Alligator mississippiensis: one gene and its partner. The protein of the gene in region 2 purifies or fractionates together with the protein of the main gene of each other region. This does not show direct contact. Links are inferred from orthologs where the notes say so. Each region holds a gene or a part of one and is shown on either strand. Other genes may lie near its edges. The genes, in order: GALNT2 and TGOLN2.

Region 1 (11,533 bases), on a different chromosome or scaffold from region 2:
GATCCACTGAACTTATATCATTGACTGCTTCATTCCCTGAAGCCAAAGAAGGAGCAATGGAAATAAATAAAATTTGAGGAAAAGCCTTTTTACAGTTCTCTTCCCCATATACAGAATCAACCAAGGCTATGCTACACAGTTACATATATTTTTAAAAAGGCAGCTTAAGAAACAAAGTCTAGCTGGACAATGAGACTTAGGGACAAAAAACTTGTGAAAAACAGAACTCAGGCACTTCAATCCAAAACTGAGATCCTCAAAATCTTTGCTCAACTTCTACCTAAGCCTGAAGCCAGCAAAAAACCCTGGACACTTCAGTTTTCAGCACTGAATTTTTGTTGATGCTTAAAGGTCTGCACCTGCCCAGGCTCAGAAGTGGTCTATTCTTGACAGTGTTAAGTAGCTCTGCACTAAGCTCAAGCCTAAAGCATGTCAGGATCCAAAATCAGGCATTCTTCTGCCTATTAAGCTTCAGGGCACAATCTGGTAGGCAGTCTCTGAGTATGTCTAACAGATTAGATTCTACACAAAGACAGGTGGTGCCTCCTTTTATCCAGTAGTTCAGTGAATGCAAGAGGCCTAAATTCAATTTCTTCCTCTGCCTTAGGACGGGAACGTAAAAATCGCTCAGCTCCCAGAAGAGTAACTTCACTATCAAGCTGTTCTGTGGTGGGGGAGGTTCTTAATCTCTCCTATTAAAGTCATTCCACATTTCATCAAATAATTAAAGATTCATTGGGCCAGAAAGAAAGAGAGAGAAAAAAAAACAGGATTTTATTGCCTGTTGGGTAGAGACCTGGATTCCAGTGCTTGCTCCAAACTGTTAGTTGTAAAGTATGTAAACAGTCAAATGGAACAGAAACCAAAACCCATGTTTCCCTCCCCAGACGAATGCTGTAACTACTAGGCCAGAGCCATGCTTGCATTTTCTGAACCTTTCAAGCTGCTCCAGTTTGCATGGAACAGCTTTAAATGAAAGGACAGATGGGCCCTCACCCAGTTTATAATCTGGGGCTGAAAACTTTCTCCTGGGGGGGGGAAGAGCTTTGAGTTTGAAAACCCCCAGGCAGGAGGGACTTGAACTTAAGTCTCTGACTTCATGCTGATTGTTTTAACCATGGAGCTATTGTGTAAAGAGAGCCAGGACCTCCTCTGGTGGTGTTCTGAATGACAGGCCTAAATCCTGTTTTTAAAAGAAAAAATGTTTGTGCATCCAGTTCAGGAGCAGGTTCAGATTTGTGAAACCCAAGTGGAGGGAGGCAGCCCAGAATTAGACCTAACCCCAACAAGGGATGAGATTTAAGATACAGCATTCACTGGTTACCAAAAAAATCAAACTGAGCAAAGCACGTTAGATTCTAATAGCCAGCAATTCTATTAAGTGGCAGTAAAGAAAAACGCCCAAGCAGAGTCTTGTCAAGAAACTGCACGGTTTCCAAAGCTTGTTGTATTTTACTCATTGAGACTAACAGCCAGACAGAGGGGGAGGGGAAACCTTATTCAGCATAAATTATGGATCAAGATTTTTACTCCAATATTAAGTTGGCTGATTTTATAGAGAGAGATGCTAATAAGCATCAGGAAAAAAAACAACCAAACAAACAAAAAACCCAAAATCACACAGAACCAGGCTTTGGGGGTTTTGATTATATTCTCTGACTGATTCCATTAAGCAAGATCCTAGCAACCAGTAGACACTGTATACCAATGTCCTTGGCATGTATTTACTAGCTTACATGGCTCCCACTCAGCAGACTGTTTTTTTCTAATTCCCATTCTGAGCTGCCCAACTCCTCCCATATGTTGGGAGCCTAAGCATCTAATACAGGACTGTGGATTGCACTACAATAGCAAGCTGCCTAAAGGTTGGGAGCTCCAGCACTCAGCATCAGCCTCATCCGTTTGTAGACTTAAATTCAAAAGGCTGAAAGCGGAGAACCCAAGGGACAAAAATACATATCAGTGCCAGACAACTCGAATAAGGGAGAAACACTACAGCCTTGTTCCCCAGCACGGGGCCCAAATTTGCACAGAAGTTGGCACCTACTAAAGTTAATGGAAACTAACAAAATCAACCAACAAGCAGGACTGGAAGCTATACCAGGAAAAACAAACAAACAAACAAAAAAACCCCCAGAAAATCTGGACTATGCCCTGAAGTGGTACATGACATCATCCTGATAGAAGCACGTGTTCTTTGTATAACCAGGCCTATGCAATTAAGAACTCTGTTTTCAAAATTTTTGACCGAACAAACCAAAGACTTAGGTCTACTAAAACCTATACTCAGGTGACTCTTGTGCACTTTTGCTGGACAAAAATACTTGAGAAGTAACAAAGAGTACAAGTCATGTATGCCATGATATGCAGTATAGCAAAACTTTCATTCATAAAGCTAAGACAGTTTGTGTTTTTACTTCATATCAGGGTTTGACACACTAAATTACTGAATCTTTTACTCGGCTTTTAAAAGCTATTGTACATACACATTTCCTTATTTATCTTCACTAAATGATTCCAAAGATTGGGATAAAATTTTGTTTCAGTGAGAGAAAACAGAGTACTAAATCACCAATGCAAGTATAATTGTTAATATCACTACTTGTTTCTTATGGTCAAAGTACCCATTTCCTCACTGATAGGCCATTACTTTAGACGGTTACACTATCGTCTCATACTAAACCTCTGGCTATGTTGCTGAAACCCCTCTCAGTCTTTAATTCCTCTTGCTCAAACTCCTAATTGTTCTGACCTGTACAGTTTAGAAAATTTTGTATAGAACAACAACTGATTTTCAAGTGTTGAGACAAGACTCACCCCCCGCCCATCCCTGTCAGTAATACCATTCTTACACAGCAGTGTGATGCTGTCCCAGATCAGTGCCCAGAGCTCTCATAAAACCTAGGTTTTTCTTCCTGCTCTGCTACTGGACTGGACTGGATTGCTGGGTAACTTTGGGCAAGTCATTTTGCTTATACCTTAGGTTTCCCCCAACGATAAAATGAGATTTCAGATGATAAAACCAACTTCCTAAGTAAAGCGTATCAAGATCCAACTGATAAAAAGTATTATAATTGCTAAGCATCAAAATAATTTTTCTTTGTACAAGCTTCCCAAGAACAAAAATTTTTGTCCTGGCTAACCTTCTCTTACCTCATTATATATCAGCTGTTCGAGTCAGTTTTTACATACAAAATACAGTAGTGTGATCTCCAAAGCTCAGTAAGACCAAAGTCTTAATTGCATCTCATGCCAGACCCATTTCTGATAAACGCACAACATCCACTTAAAAATGAGTTTGACGTTTAACTAAACAGTAAGCGTGTAACAGTCAATGCAATGCTTTCCTCCAAGTTGATGTACAGCATATTCCTTTCAAAATGTGAAAGATGAAGCACAGCAAAGCACTGAGCCATTTGCAAACTGATACAGAGCTCAGTTCTACAGACTTTTATTGATGGAAATATCCCTGCTTACAACAAGGACTGACTACAGGGTCTGGTCCTCAAAACACTTCCCGAATACACCTGTATTTCTAGGAACTGAACTGAAAAATGGCAATAAAATCCCATCTTACTATGTCAAGGCACATTAAGATTCAGCCCCCAAATAGATACCAATTCTTTAGTGAAACAATATTACTGAAGTTATCTCATCCTTCGCACCACCAAACCCTCCCTCTCCATTTTGGAGGTACACAAGAGGAATTACAAGCCAATGAACATTTAAACCCTTTCACTACACCAAAGGCACAATGTTTAGAGTCAAAGCTTTCTAGCGTCCCTGGCCTTAAAATTAAACCCTGCAGGGTTACAAGGGCCTGCTAATTTACCTCTCCAAAAATTAAACGTGTTGTTTTAAAAAGTCACAAGAAAAACCTACAGGATGACCCAGGGACGACCACATGCTCAGCCATAGCAGGACAATACTATGCATCTTTGGGGTTGGCCAAGCGCCCCCATGCACCAAAAGGCTCCTTCTAGACATCTGTGCCGATAGGAAAGGGTTTCTGCACCAGACTACCAGAGCCCCACAAGGGAAGGCAGAGGGGCCCCAGCTGCAAGGAAAGCCCCATCCCAGCGGTTCCCAATCTGTGGTACGGGTACCACCAGGGGTACACAGACAACCTGTCAGTGGTGCGTGTTGACAGATTTATTATAATTACTTGATATGACAACAATTTCCAAGTGGTGCTGCAGGTTGAACTAAAAAACGTGCTGGCGGTACTTCAGGGTGAACCGTTTTAAACGGACAGTGCACAATGTGTCCGAGTTTGGGAACCACTCGCTGCCCGTCCTATCCCTGGTGCTACAAGCCCCTCAGAGGTGTGTGGCCGCGCTGCAAGTAGAAGCCGGGGAGCAGCCGAGTGGCACCGAGAGCCCCGCGGGGTCTGGCAGGCAGCTGGGAGCCGGGGTCTTGCCCCAAGGTAAAGCCCGTGGGGGCGCTCTCTGGGTGGACAAATTGGGGGGGAGGATTAGAGGAGCTTTCCGCAGCTGCCCACAAGAGACAGAGCAGCGCGGCGGCAGGGAGACGGGGGCGCTGTCCTCGCTGCGCTCCGCTGAGGTGCCTCAGCCCGCCCCGGGCAGGCGGCGCCCTCCCCGCGGCGGGACGTGGCCGAGGCTGAAGTCTGCTCCTGCCCTCGCCTCCACGTCACGGGGCAAGAAGCAACGGCGGAGGGGAAAGTCCCGGCGGTGACGTGGGGGGAGCTCGGACACACACCGGGGGGAAGGGGGGTAACCCGGGGCAACGCGAGGGGAGGGGCGGCACGCGGAGGGGTTGGGGAGGGGGTCTCACCTTCCTGCCGCCGCCCGCGCCGGCTACGGCGGCGCCGCCCCCCGAGTACATGTAGTAGGCGATGCCCAGCACCCAGAGGAAGGCGAAGCAGAGCAGCAGCCGCGACCTGCGCCGCATCCTCCTCCTCCTCCTCCTTCTTCCGCCCCGTGCAGCAGCAGCCGCCGCGAGCACCACCAGGAAACGGCCAGCAGCAACCGCCGCCGCCGCGCAGGGTCAGGGGGCAGAGGGCGAACGCCCGCCCCCCTCCGCCAATCGCCAACCGCCAGGGGCGGGGCGGGGCGGAGCCAGCGGCGTCGCCATGGTTGCAGCACGCCGGGCCCGCGGCAGGAGGGGCGCGTGGCAGGGGCTGCCCCGCCCCCTCCCGCCTGCGCGCGGCGTTCTATGGGGCGGGGCCACTCCCTGCGTGGGGTTCCAGCCGCCCCGCCCCCGGGAGTAGGCCCTGGGCACGGATCCTGGCAGTCCTCGTGTGGACGCGGTGCTCGCCCCGAGGGAGGCGCTGCCCGTGCCTGCTCCCAGTCATAGCCCGATGCCGCCATTGGAATGAAACAGATGAGAGCTCTCTGCCCCCCAGGACAGCCCCAGTCTTCCTGCGCCGTGCAGGGGAAGAAAGAGCACCGGGTGCTCCAGTGGGTTGCCTGTCCCTTTGCTGCCAGGTGCTGTGATGGTTGCATAGACAGCTCGCTGTCCCTGCGGGTCCTTGCTGTTCACATGAGCCCCCTCAGCTCTGCTCCTGCCTTTAGCGAGCTGGTCTGCCTTTCAGCCCCCTCTTCGTGAGCTCTGCTCAGTGGTCCTGCATCATCCAAGAGACCTGGATGCGGAGCAACACTGGCCTCTTCTCAGGCAACTCCAATCTATATCTGACCCCTTGCTTTTGCTTGGGAGTGATGCTCCTCCTTCCTGCCTAAAGTTTGGCACCTCAATCCAGCTGTTGTGGTTGTCCCACACCCTGAATATGGGGCAATCCCAGTGTGAATCGGGAAGGTTGTCCACTAGCTCCTCAGCCAGTGCCCATGTGCCGCCAGGCCACTCTCAGCACTGCCACGTGTGGGGGGAAATCCTCTTAATCTCTCTCCAAGAACATCAGAGTGCCTCATTCCTTACCCTCCTGCTAGTCTAGGGTCAGGCTCTAAGGTTTCTTGAAGGAGCCCTAAATGAGGGTCACCATATATGTGAGGGTCGCATATTTTTTTGACCCAACCCATGACTGTGGAGGTTAGGGAACCTCCCCCTCCCGTGTTTCAGTAGCTTATGCACAAAATACTAAGGCCTAAGCGTGTTCTGCTGAACAGTCTTCTGAAATCTATCTGCCAGCTCTGCTTGGACTTCACATAGCAGATGTATGTGACTCAACATTTTAGTGAGTCTGTGTGATCTGAACAAGACTTGGCATCGCAGGGCCAGCAGTAGGATGTTGACTGTCTGTCTGCCTTGGACTCAGCCCATGTCCGTGGCTATTATCTGTCCCAATTCACAGCAGAACCGGTAATGCTTACCAACCTGTTCTGAAGCTCATGAACCCAAGTCCTCAGAGGGTCCAGGACAGGCACCCAGGGTCATTTCCCTGGGTAATCAGCCATGCCTGCCAAACATAACGGAGCAAAGCATGTGTAGAGCCGTGTATTGTGTTGTTCTACACACAGGCCAGTTCAGACAGGTTATATCAGTCTCCATGTCAAGTCTTTTCCAGCGTCCTGAGTCTCATTGGTTCATTCATAGAGCTCATTCATAGAGCTGTCCTTACCTTGTGTCCTTAGCTTCCATCCATTCTTGTGGATGGAAGTCTGCTGTCCTTAGCTTGTGGCTACTATAACCGAAAACACATTCCTTGTACACAACTCAGAAGGTGTTTTTTGATCAGGGAGCACCTTGAAAGAAGAGGCAATGGGTTGCACAAAGCAGTGCCAGAAGGCTTCCACGATCACTGACTACAATCTCCCAATGCTCTGTAGCCAACAATATTGTGCCAGTGTGTCTAATCTGGCAGAATAGATGTGTTACAGGAGGTTCTCTGTAAAAACGATGAAGTGGGCAACTGCAAGATAGCCCTTAAGCCTCCCATTATGGCCTAGACCAGAAGGATTTGTAGCATTCCTCATTTTATTCTGACCTTTGTTCCTCATAATCTTCAGCTGACACCCAGGATCATCACCCTTTCCCATCTACCCTGGTCTTGGGAGAATGCAGCACCCAACCCTTGACTGCTAGTATCTACACACAGCATGAAGGAGAGAGTATAATCTCGGTATGCTGGTACAGCACTAGCACCCTCACCCTAGCAGGTTGAGACCCTATCTACATGAAAAAAAATGTATTAATTTAACTACAATGTAATTTATTTAGTTAAAACAGTGTAAATCCCTGCAGAGTCACTCCTATTTTGCATTCACAGATGTGTATGAATTAAATTTCAGTCTGTAAGACATCTTCATGCACTCCAACTTTAGAAGTTAAATCCCTCAAGAAAAGGCCTGGTAATTGTGGTGTTTAAAAAGAGCTCCAGGGAACTCTACCTAACTCTACCTAGATTCTCCCACAAGGGTCAGTGACTCATGGAAGAATCCACACATCTACATTGCTTTGTTGCTTTTGGGACACTTCTTCCTGACTGTATTCTCTTCCCTTTATTGTTGGGGCCCCTGTTTAGTTTGACCCCATCCCCAAACAATGCAAGAGAGGTGCCACACATACAGCCTCAGCTCTAACTGGGGTCAACTGATTATCTCCAGCTGGTCAGCTGCTGGCCTTTTGGCATGCCACTAGTCTTCTGTTGGCCAGCTCTGGGCACCTTCTTCTAGAGTAAGAAGACATTAAACAAAAATAGGAAACTAAAGAGGACACAAAAACTTTCCATAACAATTAAGCTGAGTGTGTGCTTCAGCATCACAATGTGCAATTTAGGCAGAACATTCCTCAGCTCAAATTCAAAACCATTTGATGAATGCCCATTCTGACTGTCCCATATTTCTCTGTTCCTTCTGTCAACTGATGTCAGACCATCAGCCTCTGCCAACCCCCATGCCCTTCTGCCACTCCATCTGCACCAAGGGCTGTAGTATCAGCAGTCAGTCTCCAGGAGGCTCAACTCCAGGCAGCATAGGGATGTGGCAGGGGACCAAGCATTAGGATTGGCAGAAATTTAGTCAAATTAGCAGGAAAAGAAACAGTAGCTAATAGAAAAGAAGTTGAGAAATCTGGCCTTACTGTTCTCCCAGAACAGAGACTAATAGCTGCTTTGTTGACAGTCTCATCAAAGAAGCTGAAGACTGAACAGGCATGGAAGATGACAGGTGATCCTTTTATGTCAAAATTGACACTGCCTGTGCTGTACTTCTTCAGCGTCTGAAGATTTCAGTGAAAGGATGCATTCCTTTCCACCTGTCAAGCCCTGAATGAAGGAATGCAATGTGTTACAAAGACAGTTTGTGGAGCACAATTATTAATTCTGGAAATTTAAACAGGTGTAAAAAGTTGTGGCCCTTTAGTATGAATGATTCTTTCTTGAAGCTCAATTTCTTTCTTTCTTAAAGCTTTCTTTCTTTCAAAATTTTTGGTTTTGGAGACAAATGGTTTCCAATCACAAAACTGAGGGACATGCCCAGCTTTAACTTTTCAGATAAAATGTCTGACAGCACTTGGAATGAGGAAGAGAGCCATAGGGAGATTTTAGATCAAATTTTCATCTCCTCCCTTATCCTTTCCCAACCCTGCCCCCAAGATATGTCAGATACATCTAAGGAGAAGGCAGAAGGAAGGGCAGTCATTCAGCCCTACCTTCTGCTTGACCAGACTAACACAGCTAATTTCTCTATGAAAAATCCTTCAAATGAGCTGTTTGAACCCCATCCAGTACCAGGACCAGTTCTTCACTGGTCTGGGTCTTGGCATAGCTTAGAGCAGCTCTCATCTGTTGGCTGGGAGTGAGATAAAGTAAGAGCTCCTTTCCAGTGAAGCATTCCTTCACCAGACACATCTACAAGGTTTTGAGTGAGGGAACACATGCACAAAAAAATTAGCAGGCTCAATAACACAGTACTATTGATTAAATAATTTTATACAGAAAGCATTGCACAGGAGGCTCATCCCCACAAGCTAACGTGCAGTTAGCAGCCCCTCAAAGCGATTTCAGGGGCTACAAACCATACACTGTGCACATACACTCATGCATCACATTGCTAAATGCAGCGCAGTGGTGTTTTTTGACACTGGGGGATCCCTGCAGCTAAAAAAGTGGTGCAGCAAATGTGGCAGCAGTGTGCATTGCCAGAAACTGGAGCCTTGCCAGCCAGAGCCATGCTGGCTGCCAGCCAGGCTCCAAGTGGCTGGCTTCATACCGCTGCTTCCCCAGGAGGCCCCCAAGCTCCAGATAAGGCTGATGGGCCCAGCACAGGTACTGGTGCGGATGCGCTCTGGGTGTTGAAAATGTTAATTTCTGCAGCCTTCCCTAATCCCACTTACATATTACAAAGTCTTTAGGAACTGAGTAACAAGCTCCTACACACCTTACAAAATCTACCATGTACCCCTTTCAGACTCTAAAGATCTTCAGTCAGATCTTCAAGTACCTTCCTGACATTCACCGATTCCTAGCAAGACTCCTAACTAGACTTTTCACTTCAAAGCAAAATTAGCCACCCAGGCATGCAAAGCAAATTATTCCATAGCTGCAAATTTTACAGGCTTAGTAAAATAATCCACTACACATACTCCATCACAGTTTTCAAAGGTTTACAACTAAGCCAAATTAAAACTAATTTCCTCTTGAACAAGCAAAAGCACTTCTGCTTAAAGAAGGTTACTTCCATGCCAGGTTTCACTTTTCAACCTTCTGCTCATTAGGTTGTAGGAATGTTCATGAAAGATTGCATTAAATTATTTTAAAATAGGACTTTTGGTTCATTCCTGATATTCCAAAATGATTGTGCAAGCTTTGCTCAAGCATTCTCAAAATATTCACTAGAGGCCACATCCAGAAATTTTATCCTGACATGGAAACGTTAAGCACACGCATAAGTTCTGTGGGAAAATCCAGGGGGTTGTTTGATGTTTCTTCATTACACAATGGTAATAAGGAGAAATGGACTATCTCCTCAATCAAAGATGTTGGAGTCAACATGACCGTTTCAATTTTGCTTAGGTGCCAAGAGTTATGTCAGTTCAATTTTTCAGCCAAGTTTCTGATGATACCCAGAGTAGGCAAGTACCCTGGCAGTGGCATTCTTGGCTTCCAGAAACCCTTTTTACCCTCATGTTGTTAAAATCACCAGTAACAAATACTGCACCATGTACGTTTTAGCTGATGCGCCTGCCCACAGATTATTCTATGCAGGGCTTGGATACATTCAAACAATTTAGCCTCAAAGCTCTTTTACCCCAGACTGTTTCTAGGTAAATGTTAATGTTGATGGTGCTACATTGTCAGTTACAAAGTGTAAGGCAACTACTACTTCTGAAAGTAGGTTTTCATGCTGTTGCTCCTGTAAGGATCAGCTCACTAGGTCCTGAAATATTGGCATTTCAGCTCTATATTTTGTCACCAAAGTTTAGGATAGCTGCACTAGAGTTTGTGCTTTGCAAGATAAATTATCAGACCCTCTCCCATGCCCCTTTCCATTTGATAAAGTATAGCAGCAAGCATTCTTTGCATACGCTCATTTTTATGCACAGAGGAAACAGACCCTTCCCCCTCATAGCTGGTGATAATAAACAAAGAACACCTTGGCCCCTGATGGCTGACTTCATAAACACTTCCTTCAGTGACGGGCACATTTCCAGCCACCTTGACAACATGTAACAGTCCAGCCAATTCTGCAGAAACCTGTGCCAGCTATTTCCCTGCTTCCAACGTACCCTTCCTGAGCGAAACTGTAGTGCCTAAACTCCAGCAGATTATACTTGTTTGCCATATTCTGGACCCTGACAAGATTTCAGCCTGAGACATGATACAGAAACAGCTCTCTTAGAAAAGAAATGATGGAAGAAGAGAGATTCAGTCTTTGGGGGTTTACTGAAACAATGATCTCACCTTTGAGAGTATCTGATCGCTAACACCGAATCTGTGTGAATCATAGGTGGAGGAAGAAAATATTATTGGGGATGGGGCTGAGCACACACCCACACACACCACGCACACACACACACATGCACACACCATGCACACACACACCCACACACACTTCAGCAGGTAAGTCTCTGGAGGGGAAGTGGTAGAGGAGAGGGAAGGGACGTCTGTGAGGCAGATGGAGTGAGGGAGGGAGTGGAGCAGAGGCAGGAGCAGGAGCGAATGGGACCCTGGGGTGGGTGGTGGGATGGGCAGAGTCTGGGTGTTTTGTCTAGGGGCGCGGGGAGGCTCCTGCAGCTGCGTGCACTATGGGGAGCATGTGTCCCGTGGATTTGTGCATGGGGCAGAAGCAGGCTACTGCTGTGGGCTGGGCTCTGCGCCCTGCTGATGTCGCCTCAAGAGCCGCATGATGCCATGTGCATCCTGTGGCCAGGCTGCACCACATCCCCTGCCTGCCTGGTGGTGGCACGCACGTGGGGCTGTGCGGGTCTCAAGCAGTGGGACTCAGTGCCCAGCCCATAGCAGCAGCCCACCTCCACCCCATGCTCAAATCCAGGGGATATGTTCCTCCTGTGACTCCTCCAGGGTGCACACAGTGACAGAGCCCCCTCCCCCCCACCCCCCGCCTGCACCCCTGGACAAGCCACCCAGGCTCCACCCATCCCACCACCCAACCTGGAG
Region 2 (10,661 bases):
AGTGTATGGAGCAAGGATACAGTCAGCATCTATTCTAGGAGTGGCTGTTTACTCAGACTTCTCCTGTACAAGCTACTGTAATGGTTTCTGCCCATGAGAGAAGCAAGATATGCCACCCAACCCCACTAGCCAGCTATCCTGCTCCCATACAGGCTTTCCAAACACACTATGTCCTTTGGAAGATAATAACCCGTTCCCATACCTCACAATACAAAATCAGCAATGCCAGCCTGTACCAACTCTTGGTTTCCACAAGCAATAAGTCTACGTGTTCCACAGTGTCAAGGAAATCAGCTCTGCATGGACCAGACTGTTTTAAGACACGTTCAGCTAAAATCAAAGTGAAGTGAGACTGGAGCAAAAGCAAGGGGAAGGGGAGACCTGTCAACCTGATGGCTGGAAGCAATCCTATCAGCTAATCCCTTTTTTCTCTATTGCCCACCCACTTGGAAAGAAATCTTTCTGCACTAGCCAGGATGCCCTCCCATTTATTCTGAACAAATCAGCTGTGCACTGAGTGACACCAAGTTTGCCAAGTCTATGGCAGAGCAGGCAGGGCAGGGCATCTCTGGCTGCATCATATGACCTCCTACAGCAACCAACAGTTCAGTCACCTGCCTAAGGGAGTCAAGTTCCAACACTACTACTTGCATGCACAAAATGCATGTGCAATGCATCCATGGTCAGCAGCCATCCACCAACCCCATCCTCTCAACATCTGTTCTGTGCTTGAATGGAGAAACACTGAAAGCTAGACCCTGCACACAGACATTCAATTCACACCAATCTCACTATGCTGAGCTCTGATCAATACGAGTCCACCCAGTGCCAACTAGAACAACCCAGGCTGGAAATTCAGGGCTCGGACCCCGCTCTTTCAGGAAAGGCGTATCAGCTACTTGCCAGCACTGAAGCTACTTGAGTCCACATAACCCTTACATTCAAGTGACATTTCAGAGGCAGGCATTGACATGCAGAGACAAAGCTGAGTAAAACCTTGCTAAGGAGATTTGGCACCAAGCTATGCATGCATCTGTGGCATTCCCTAACCACATCCCACCTCAACGCTTTGTCTTCAGTGCAGTCTCCTGAGCTTTGGGGAGCCCAGGAGGAGAAATACCATCAGGAAAGCTGAAGACAGGAAAAAACCCCAAAAGGGGTCAAAAGAGGCATGAGGCGCTGACTCCACCGTTACCTCAAACATGGGTACGAAGACAATCATGTTATCCCCACCCCTGTCGTCCTCACAGAGAATCAAGAGACCAATCAGACAAAAGAGTCCTTGGCAAACATTTTTGGAACTAGTGCAATTAGGCTAGGAATTTTAGCGTCCACCCACATTGGACACAAGGGGATAATGTTCATTTGTCAAGACCAACCATGCCGGTACAAAAGACAGCGCCATGGACCAAGAAGAGGGAGACTGAGATGGCTCATTCAGCAGGCAGGCCTCTGCCAGAGACCTTTGTGTCCATACAGTAGGAAGTCAATTCCACATTGTATAGGTGCAAAAGAAATTCTGTCCTTTGCTGCATCTTCCCTTGGTTTTTCCCTTTGTCACAGAATGGAAGCAAGAAACCAGAGCTGGAAAACTAGCTCAGTTTCAGGCAGCTGTGAAGGGGAAGGGGGGGGGGGGGGGGGGGGGGGGGGGGAGGGGCGCGCGCGCAGGGGAAGGGAGGGGAATCCAAAAAGATGGAGAGTGAAGCATTAACATGACCAAAGTGCAGGTGCAAAAAACTAAAAGCACTTTCCCTGCTCCCCCCACCCCCCTCTGAGATCAAGACATGGCAGTGTGGCTGGGAGGGCTGGAGCCTTGCTGCTGGGAGTTGCAGCACTTCCTTGGCCATTGCATTCTGGCATCCTTGCTCAGCCCAGCAACATGCAGAATTTCCAAGGGAACAGATTTATATCTGCAAACAGAAAGGGAAGAAAATGTCAATCAGTTGCTTGTGAGCATAGAACAGCCTCTCGCATTGTAAAGAACATGGCACAACATGCTAGCCCTGCAATCCTCCCCCTCCGCCCCCACTGCTTGCCTGAACTTACCCTGTTAGCAGAGGCTTCCACCTGGGGGGTGGGACCAGGTGGGCCCTGCTGTTGCAGGATCCTGCCATGCCTTACCCTGGGTCCTACTGCCCCTGGTTCCTGTCATCTTTGACAGGAGCCAAGGGCATATAAATATTAATTTTCTAGGGGCCCCATGGGCTGGATAGAATGGCCTGGTGGGCTGAATATGACCTGCAGGCCGTATTTTACTCGCCTCTGCGTTAAGAAGTGGAGGCCAACTGAGGCTTACCTTTTGATCCAGTCTCTGATAATCACCGGATTTGGGGCGTCGGGCTATTTTGGATCTTTTTCCTTCCAGAGCAAAAGCAATGATCTTGAGAGAGAGGGAGAGAAACACACCCAAAAGGATAAATCCATCAGTGGGCAACAGATTAACTGATGGGGGCTGACCACAACAAAAAAACACCCATAACAGCACAGTGTAAGCAATTATTTTCTCCACTTTGAAGAGACACTTCTATCTTCCATGGGTGAGGCAGCAAACCATTCTATCAGAGGCAAAGACTAGTTTCTTCGGTATTCTTCTAGCTCCCAAAGAAACGCAGTCTCCAAGTAAACTTCACAGACAATTAAGAGCATAAGGAACTATCAGTGAAGTCTTGCCATCATGCAGAAATTACCATGTGGCTTCTCCAGAATGACACTACCTCAAGAAAAGATGCGCGTCTATAGGAAGGATCATTATAAATTCAGCTTCTTCCTTTCACCCATATTCCTTCCAAATGATTATTTCCTAACAAATCCAAAATAGCATGGTACGCTAGTATAGGAAAGGACTAGGAAGATGCTGCTGTTGTCACCGCAAGGCACCAAACATCACAGATCCAAACAGCAACAGCAAGCACCTCAAGCATATTAAAAAAAAAAAAAATCTAGTTAGTTTGTTTCTCTTACTTTGCCAAGGGTAAACAGACAGTCCACACCTAACCCAGGACAACCCATCAACTATATAATATCCCTTCGAGTCTTTATCTTTGACCTAGAGTCTCAGGATCAAATGCACATGCGACACGAAGAGGCAGGCACCCCTGTTCTGCACTGATCAAGTTGCTAGTTGAAAGTTAAACATGGGTAAAGGTCTCTTTACAGCAACCCAACAAGCAATTACCTTTGGCTCGTCTAACTCTTTCACTTGCCTTGTGCACCCGAAAGCACCATACTGCAGGTCACCACTTGGCAAATTCTCAGCACCCAAGAGGAACTTTCACCTACTATGAAGGAGTAGGTGAATACATAAAACATCTTAGCAGTTACCCCACCTTGTTTCCCGCCTCCCCAGCACTAAGCCTCCTAGCTGAAGCCATGCAATTTTCACAGGTGTCTAAAACACTTCCCCAGGCACAACTTCCTCATTGCTCACCTCACAGCAGCTCGGACAAGGACTGTAGAGCTAGTCAAAGCCACAAGTCAATGGTTTTCACCTTTCCAAGCACATCAAGAAGCTAAAGCCAGGCAGAGAAATCAAGACAGACCAGTTTACTGAAGAGTTCCTTCCCCGCACCAGACAATCCCAAAGCAGTAACACACTTTGGAAAATTTTGATAGATATTCTAGACTTTACCTCACACAATCAAGAACTAGCAGATTTGTTCTGGTCAGATCTAAAGAAGGTCTGGAATCCAGAAGCGTGTCTAACTCTACCCCAGCTACACAGCTGGTCCGATAAAAAACAGTGCCCTAAGAAATCCCTGCCTCTTGCCTAACACCTGGACCATCATGGCTACATCACTCTTACACTACCATACGTAACACATGTGCATCCAAAACACACACATAACTGGGATCAGGCAAGAATGTCCAGAGACACAGGTCCCAGCCAGGAGCTGCACCGATCCAAAGATCAAAACACAGGCCCTCCAGATCCCTGCACTGAACAAGCCTCAAGAGAGAAGAGATGAAGCCAGCTCTGTATTTTTGGTGGGCCAAAGATCTCACCTTCCGTTTGTTGTGATAGGCAATGTACAAGACAGCGACGATAATGGCTGTGGTCACCAGGTAAGCGAAGAAGTGGCTGCTCTCAGACGGGTCTTTGGGGGCAATGGGGACACTGTCCTTCTTCTCCCCGCTGGGAGGAGAGATTTTGTCAATCTTTCCATCCTCCTCTGGTTCCTCCAGCTCCTCCGTGGGAGACAGCTTCCTGGGCAGGTGTGGATTAGGGACAGACTCAGCAGGGTCTGAAGATTGCTCATCGCCCTTGGGGGTGGGCTCAACAGGGGCCACAGGCTCCTTGTCGCCCTTGGGGGCCGGCCCACCGGGGGCCACAGGCTCCTTGTCGCCCTTGGGGGCCGGCCCACCGGGGGCCACAGGCTCCTTGTCGCCCTTGGGGGCCGGCCCACCGGGGGCCACAGGCTCCTTGTCGCCCTTGGGGGCCGGCCCACCGGGGGCCACAGGCTCCTTGTCGCCCTTGGGGGCCGGCCCACCGGGGGCCACAGGCTCCTTGTCGCCCTTGGGGGCCGGCCCACCGGGGGCCACAGGCTCCTTGTCGCCCTTGGGGGCCGGCCCACCGGGGGCCACAGGCTCCTTGTCGCCCTTGGGGGCCGGCCCACCGGGGGCCACAGGCTCCTTGTCGCCCTTGGGGGCCGGCCCACCGGGGGCCACAGACTTGGGGGTGTGCTCGACAGTGGCAGTCACCACCGGTGGCTCGGAGGAGGTCTGGGCGGGCTGAGGGGTCGTTTTGGATGATAATGACTCATTTTTCTTGCCCTGTAGGGGCAGCTGATTGGACACAGATGCAGACAGGTCTGGCTGTACAACTGTTGGAAGAGCAGAGGCACAACAACTGTGAGCACCCATCCAGGGAGATCACTGCCCAACCCACCTGCCCCCAGCAGCCACAACAGCCCTTAGGGGCAGAGGTCGCAGGCCCCAAGACCCCCACCCCCTTTCACCCCCAGCCCCTTCCCGTCCCCTTAACCCTCCAACCCCTTTCCTCCCACCCAGGCCCCCGGCGCAGCCCGCAGGAGCAGCCCACACCCATGTCGGGGTCGCTCTTCTCCTCCTGACCTTGCACCGCCAGGACCAGCAGCAGCGGCAGCGCCGCCAGCACCCAGCCCCGCGCCGCCGCCATAGAGACCGGCCTTTCGTTCCGCTTCCGGGAAACTAGAATCACCCGCACACACTTCCGCTGGCAAAATCTCGCGAGACCCGAAAAGCGAACGGGCGCGGGGGGAAGGTCTATGGAGCGCGTGGGCGGGGCTTGCGGCGGCGCGCAGCCAATGGGAAGTGGCGGAGGCGGGGCTGCCCGGAGGAGGACGTGGCTTCCCTGAGCGGCGGGGCTGGCATCCAATGATTGGGGCTGGGGGCGGGGCGCAGCGCCCACAGCTGAGCAAGGGCGCCGCCTGGCGCACAGTCCTGGCCGCGCGGCTGAGCTGGACGGGCCTGCGCCCCCTGGGCGGCCCTGCTGCAAGGCCCGCTGTTGCCACCTCGGGCGCGGCTCTCCTTCCTTTCCCTGCACAAGGAGCCTTTGCCGCTGGGCCTGGCGGCCTCGCGCAGAAGAGCTGACCCGGCTCCTCCGCCCGGGCCCGGGCGAGGCCCCCCGGTTGGAAACAGCCGCGTGTTCCCGGGGCGGCAGCTCGTGCTCTGGTCAGCGCCCGGCTCTGGCGACGCAAACCCCCGTGCTGCCGACTCCCGGGAGGCTCCGGCCTCCACCGGCAACAGCAGACACTGGAGCCTCGCGCATCTTTTTCCGAGACGTGGTGGATCGGGCACCAGGCAACCAGCGACTGTCGCCTGGCCAAGAAGGGCCGGGATCCCAGGGAGCCTGTTCACTTCTCCTATCTTTGCTGTCCTGTAGCCAGGAACAGCTCCACAGCCCCGGCACGGACGGGTCAGACTCTACAGCCCCTGTAGACTCAGAGAAAGGGCTGGCTGGAGTAGCTCTGAGGGAGGTTTTAAACACCCGAGGAAGGGAAACTATTGTCAGTGACACCAATGCAAGTTGAGAGCTGTGCCACCGAGCCTTCCCCGTCTTTCATAGGATCATGGCAGAGGCCAGGCTGCAAGGGGACTTGCAGACCGTCTAGTCCAACCCCTGCCGGAGGCAGGTTCACCTTTATCGCCGTGAGGCTGAGAAGAGGATCTCGCCCAGGGCCCGGCTGACGGCAGCCCACGCTGCGGGGATGTGGAATCCGCCCTTTTGCCTTCAAAGCCCAACTTGGCTCCAGCAGAGCTGAAAGCCCCCAGCTGGCTGTGCTGGGTGAGACACGGTTGGTCCCAGCCGCTGTCTGACCTCTTCTGTTCTTGTAAGCGGTCTAGTCAGGCTCCATCACCCTCCACCGGAGGCACAGAAGACCTCCACACACAAAACCCCCCAAATTGGAACATTTTTGGCTCCTAACCTGTGGCCAATTCACTCTCGTAACCTTCTCTTTTACACAGATTAGTCTCTTGCTGTGGTGGGTTTTCCAGATGCTCAATCGTTATTACCATCCTAAGGCAGGGCACCACGATCAGACGTAACAGTCCTGCCAAGCTTTTTCCAAAAATCAAACTATTCCCTGAAAATAATCATGGGCTGTTTCAGCAGATGGGCTCACTTCCTGGAAGAGCGTGAAGATCCAGGGCCCAAATCAATGGAGCTGCACTGGAATAACTAAGAAGCAGACCAGTGACCTTCACTCGGTGCAATGTGAGCCTTACGGGGGTGCCCCACACTATTAGCACCAGTAGCTGCACTGATATCTACATATGATTAACCCAGAGGTATCAAAAAGGCATCTAAAATGCCCAAACCGTGCTGCCAAGTCATGGGCTTTCTGAGCTCTTTCCACCAGAAGAATTGCTCTGGTGTGTTTCTATCAGCAGATACTGAGTAAAAAGCTAAGAGCTGGCCTTTCCCAAGGGAGGCCTGGAGGCTAACAAGACAAGGCTAACTTGACCCTCAACAGGTCCAGAAGCACTAAGACCGAAAGGCACTATCTAGCTAGCTATTTTTCAGATTAGAAATCGCGGTCCTTCACTCAGCTGAGAAGATCAGTACTTGCAAGGTTAAGTTCTGATCTCAGCTACGTTGGGGGAATTCTGTTGCCGACAAAGCTATGGCTCAAGTGATGCTGCAATTGGGCCCCTTGCCTCCAGTCCCTGCAAGTGGCTGAGGTATGGGTCTTTTCTGGAAGCCTTTGATGCTGGTGGCAATTTCTGTACCAAGGCAGCCTGCCATGGAACAGCTCTGCCTTGCAGAGGAGGTGAAAGACTAGTATTGTGTGTGCACCGAAGAGCGTTTGTACAAAAAACCACTAGCAGGGACTGGAGGCAAGGGGACAGCAGGCAGATGGTGGCTTTAGCTTATGCTTTGCTTCTGTTAGTTACCTCCTCCATGACATGGGGCCTCACTGATCTAACCAGACCGGTAATGGTAGCTGGAAAGCAACAAGAATCAGGGCAGCTTCTGCTGAGAGGAGAGCCATGCTCCCAGGGCCTTGGGTTGGCACTTACTGACTTTTCAGCACAGACTCCTATTTAAGCACATCAACACCTCGGAGAATCCAGGCCTAAGTGACATGCCCAGGGCAGCGGCAGAGCGGAGGACAGCGCTCAGATATCCCAGACATGCAGAGTGCCGTGATATTATCCAAGGGGTGCTGCTTCCTCACATGGCACGAGAGGGTGGTGGCCAGTGGAGGAGGTTGCTCTCCATCCCTGGCAGTCTGACCACTCTGAATACTTGTCCTCACATAATTTCCCTTCTCCCCATGAATTTTCCTGGTGGTCCTTCAAGCTGAGACAACTCCTTCCCCGGGACTGGTGAAACCCAAGGGCCCTGTGGACAGAAGCAGAGCTGAGGGCTGCCCGGCGAGTGGCTAGCAAGTTGCTGGGCCCTTCAAAGCTGAGGGTCCTGGTCTAAGACCCCTTATGAGAGAATGAAGAAGTCTTCACCCTGTCAGTGAGTATATCCCCCCAACCCCCTTCCACACTGTTCCTTCACCCCAGGGCTAATCTGGTCAGAATAAAGGATCAAAAGGAGAAACAATTAGCAAATGGAAGAATTTAATGATGCTAATTAACATGTATTAAGTGTAGCCTCTGCCTCTGCACCAGCTGCTTTGGCAAGCGAGCTGGGGCCCGGGAAGCGCTGGCTCGTCCCTGGCGCACAGAGTGAGGAAGCAGGACATCTGGTGCCTTCCTCCCCCGTAGCCGCTCACAAAAGGCAGGTTCACAGGAGCCTCTGTTTCACTTCCCACCGTTAGTTGGGTTCGCCCCTAATTAGCTCCGTCTCTGCGGGAGCCCCCTGGGACCTCATTAGGCATTTCAATTAATGCATAGCCTGAGCGGCAGAGGGAAAGAAGTGTTGTGGTGGGGGGAAGCGAGGGTGGTCGGGGTGGGGGGAGGTTGGATCAAGATGGCTGCCACGAGCCAACAGAAAAGAGGTGATAGAAGAACCCCTGCTCTGAAGGCAGAGAAGACAAGTGAGATCCTAGCTACTCCCAGTGTCAGCTGGGCTGACCAGCTCTCTGCCGCCTTCTGCCCCTCCACAAGGTCCTTTCCAGAGCGGACGTGGGAACTTTACTGAGCCAAGGTCTGGGTTTGGCAGCCAACGACCCCAAGGCCCTGGGGATATCACCCCAAGCCAAGCCGACCTGCTCTCCAGCCACTAATGCTAAGGGCTTCCTATGGGGGCCATGGGCAGAGACAGGGAAGAGCATGTGTGCACATGGGCAGTGTGTGTGTCTGCACGTGTGCCCTCAGAAGCTGTTTTTAGATGGCAATGACCTCGTGCACTGTCCTTCCCATTCCCCATCACTCTGGCACCATGTCCTCCCACCACCATGACCACTCCGTGCTACTGAACCTCTCAGGAGGCAGCTACAGCCTTGGCTTACACAGGTACCGAATACCAGAGCCAGCTCTAATGCTTTGTTAGGATCTTTTTGGAGTGTGGAAATGAGAAGGCAGAGCCAGCACCAGGTGACCAGACTGTGCTGACCTAAGACACTCAGGTCACCAATTTCACTTGGGTGGCAAAAGGTAAGGCCCTACCTCTGTTGGTGAACTTGCTTTAGCAGTGCTGAGTGCCATCAATTCCCAGTGGGAGCAGCAGATACTCAACATCTTTGAAACAGCCTCTTTCTTCAAGGTTTGGGGGTGTACCTGAGGCTGCATCTCAGGCTGGGCTGGGGTCTCCACCTCAGAGTCCCCATGTCTGTTCCAGGAGTTCTCTGCAGAGGGTCCGTCTAGCTGGGCAGCTGCTTGTCCCCCTGTTGGGCCACACTCCATCCTGGGCATCGAAGGGGACAAGAAATCCCGTTCTCAAGCTGTGTCTCTGGAGCCCCTGCACGGTTATTGTGCCAGCCCTTGAATGCTTTGTCTCCTTGAAAAATGAGACATGATTCAGTTTAGCTTTGCAGCTCAGTAGACTGCCTGCAGGGCTGTGAGAAAAGCATGTTCCTAGACAAAAATAGCACAATTAGACCCAGGGAATTTAACCAAAACCAGGTGCTTACCAGACACCTGCCTTCTCTCTCCTGCAATGCCAGCAGAGCAGATGCACAGCAGAGGCAGGGTGGAGACACCCAGCTCCTGGGGAGACAAGCTCCTTCCCAGACTGCCAGGGAATACCCACTCGATGACTGGGTGTCCTCCCAGCCCCCAGCTCTGCAAGAAACCCCCTCTACCGATCCCTCTGCAAGAAGACAGGGTGCCACTGACCCTCTTCCGAAAAGGTCTGGGCAGGATTTGGAGAAGTCAAGGGAAGTGACCTGCATGTGTCATTCACAGCCCCTGTGTGGAGCCTCTTTGGAGTCAGTGGTAGCATGTCTTTACTGTCACATATGTGGGTGTTGGGCTGTGCAGAGGTTTGTACACCTAAATGTGTTCTTAGTTGGAAATGCTGCTGCAGTCTTTCCTGGGAACCATTGCTCAGGTCTCTCTGGCCAGAGTCTCCTTCCTGCTTGGACAAGTTTTCCAACAATGCATCAGACAAGGTTGGAAGAAGTGTAGACTATAGGGGAAGAAGTGTAGACCACAGTCTTGTTGCCCGGTGGGAAATCTAGGACATCTGGCCTGCGGAGAAAATACTCCCATGCTATTCCCCCATGCGGCATAATAGCCCTTGCACCTCACACAACATTTTGGATGTTCGGTTTTCTGCAGGAAAGCCCACATTTGTCGGGAGAAAGGGGAACACATGCAAAAAATCAGTCTTGGGCTGAAAACAAAAGCAAACTTTTGATCTGGGGGGCAAACTTCCAGCCTGGCCTCTGGGGGGCAAACTTTCAATCAGCTCCAATGCACGAAGGACTCACAGACCCTGCCAGCATGAGTGTATTCCTTTGTGAATGGAGCAGTCCCACCATGGAGCAGGCTCCTGCTCTCTTTGCCAGCAGCACGACGGGAAGCAGAGGGGAGCACCCCGGGCAGTAGCGACTGTTGGATCGGGTGGGCCAGTTGCCTCTCTGGTAGTGGGATATAATCCACGTCTAGCTCTGCTCAGGAGCGCGGCAAAGCATCGCAACAGATGTTCCTTTTCTGTATGGGAAAATGCCGAGTAAAACAAAGAAATCCTCTCCTGCTGAAAGCCAACATCTGTTTGAAGCTGTCTGGCTCCAGTTCAGGCTTTAATTATTCTGACAGGTCTCTTCATGCCTTTAATTTCCCAT

The links.
Region 1: the proteins of TGOLN2 (region 2) and GALNT2 purify together in Homo sapiens (affinity purification with mass spectrometry; 3 studies listed by BioGRID and IntAct, counting the BioPlex papers as one, with this or other methods). This does not show direct contact. The link is inferred for Alligator mississippiensis from reciprocal best matches to the Homo sapiens genes TGOLN2 and GALNT2.

Annotation. Positions count from the first base shown.
Region 1 is NC_081824.1:148,731,875-148,743,407, forward strand, and holds the start of GALNT2 (polypeptide N-acetylgalactosaminyltransferase 2), read right to left. Parts: upstream 5,004-11,533; 5' UTR 4,912-5,003; coding exon 4,795-4,911; intron 1-4,794. UniProt on the Homo sapiens protein: Catalyzes the initial reaction in O-linked oligosaccharide biosynthesis, the transfer of an N-acetyl-D-galactosamine residue to a serine or threonine residue on the protein receptor.
Region 2 is NC_081830.1:10,982,988-10,993,648, reverse strand, and holds the start of TGOLN2 (trans-Golgi network integral membrane protein 2), read right to left. Parts: upstream 5,212-10,661; 5' UTR 5,135-5,211; coding exon 5,041-5,134; intron 4,821-5,040; coding exon 4,003-4,820; intron 2,381-4,002; coding exon 2,297-2,380; intron 1,911-2,296; coding exon 1,905-1,910; 3' UTR 1-1,904. UniProt on the Homo sapiens protein: May be involved in regulating membrane traffic to and from trans-Golgi network.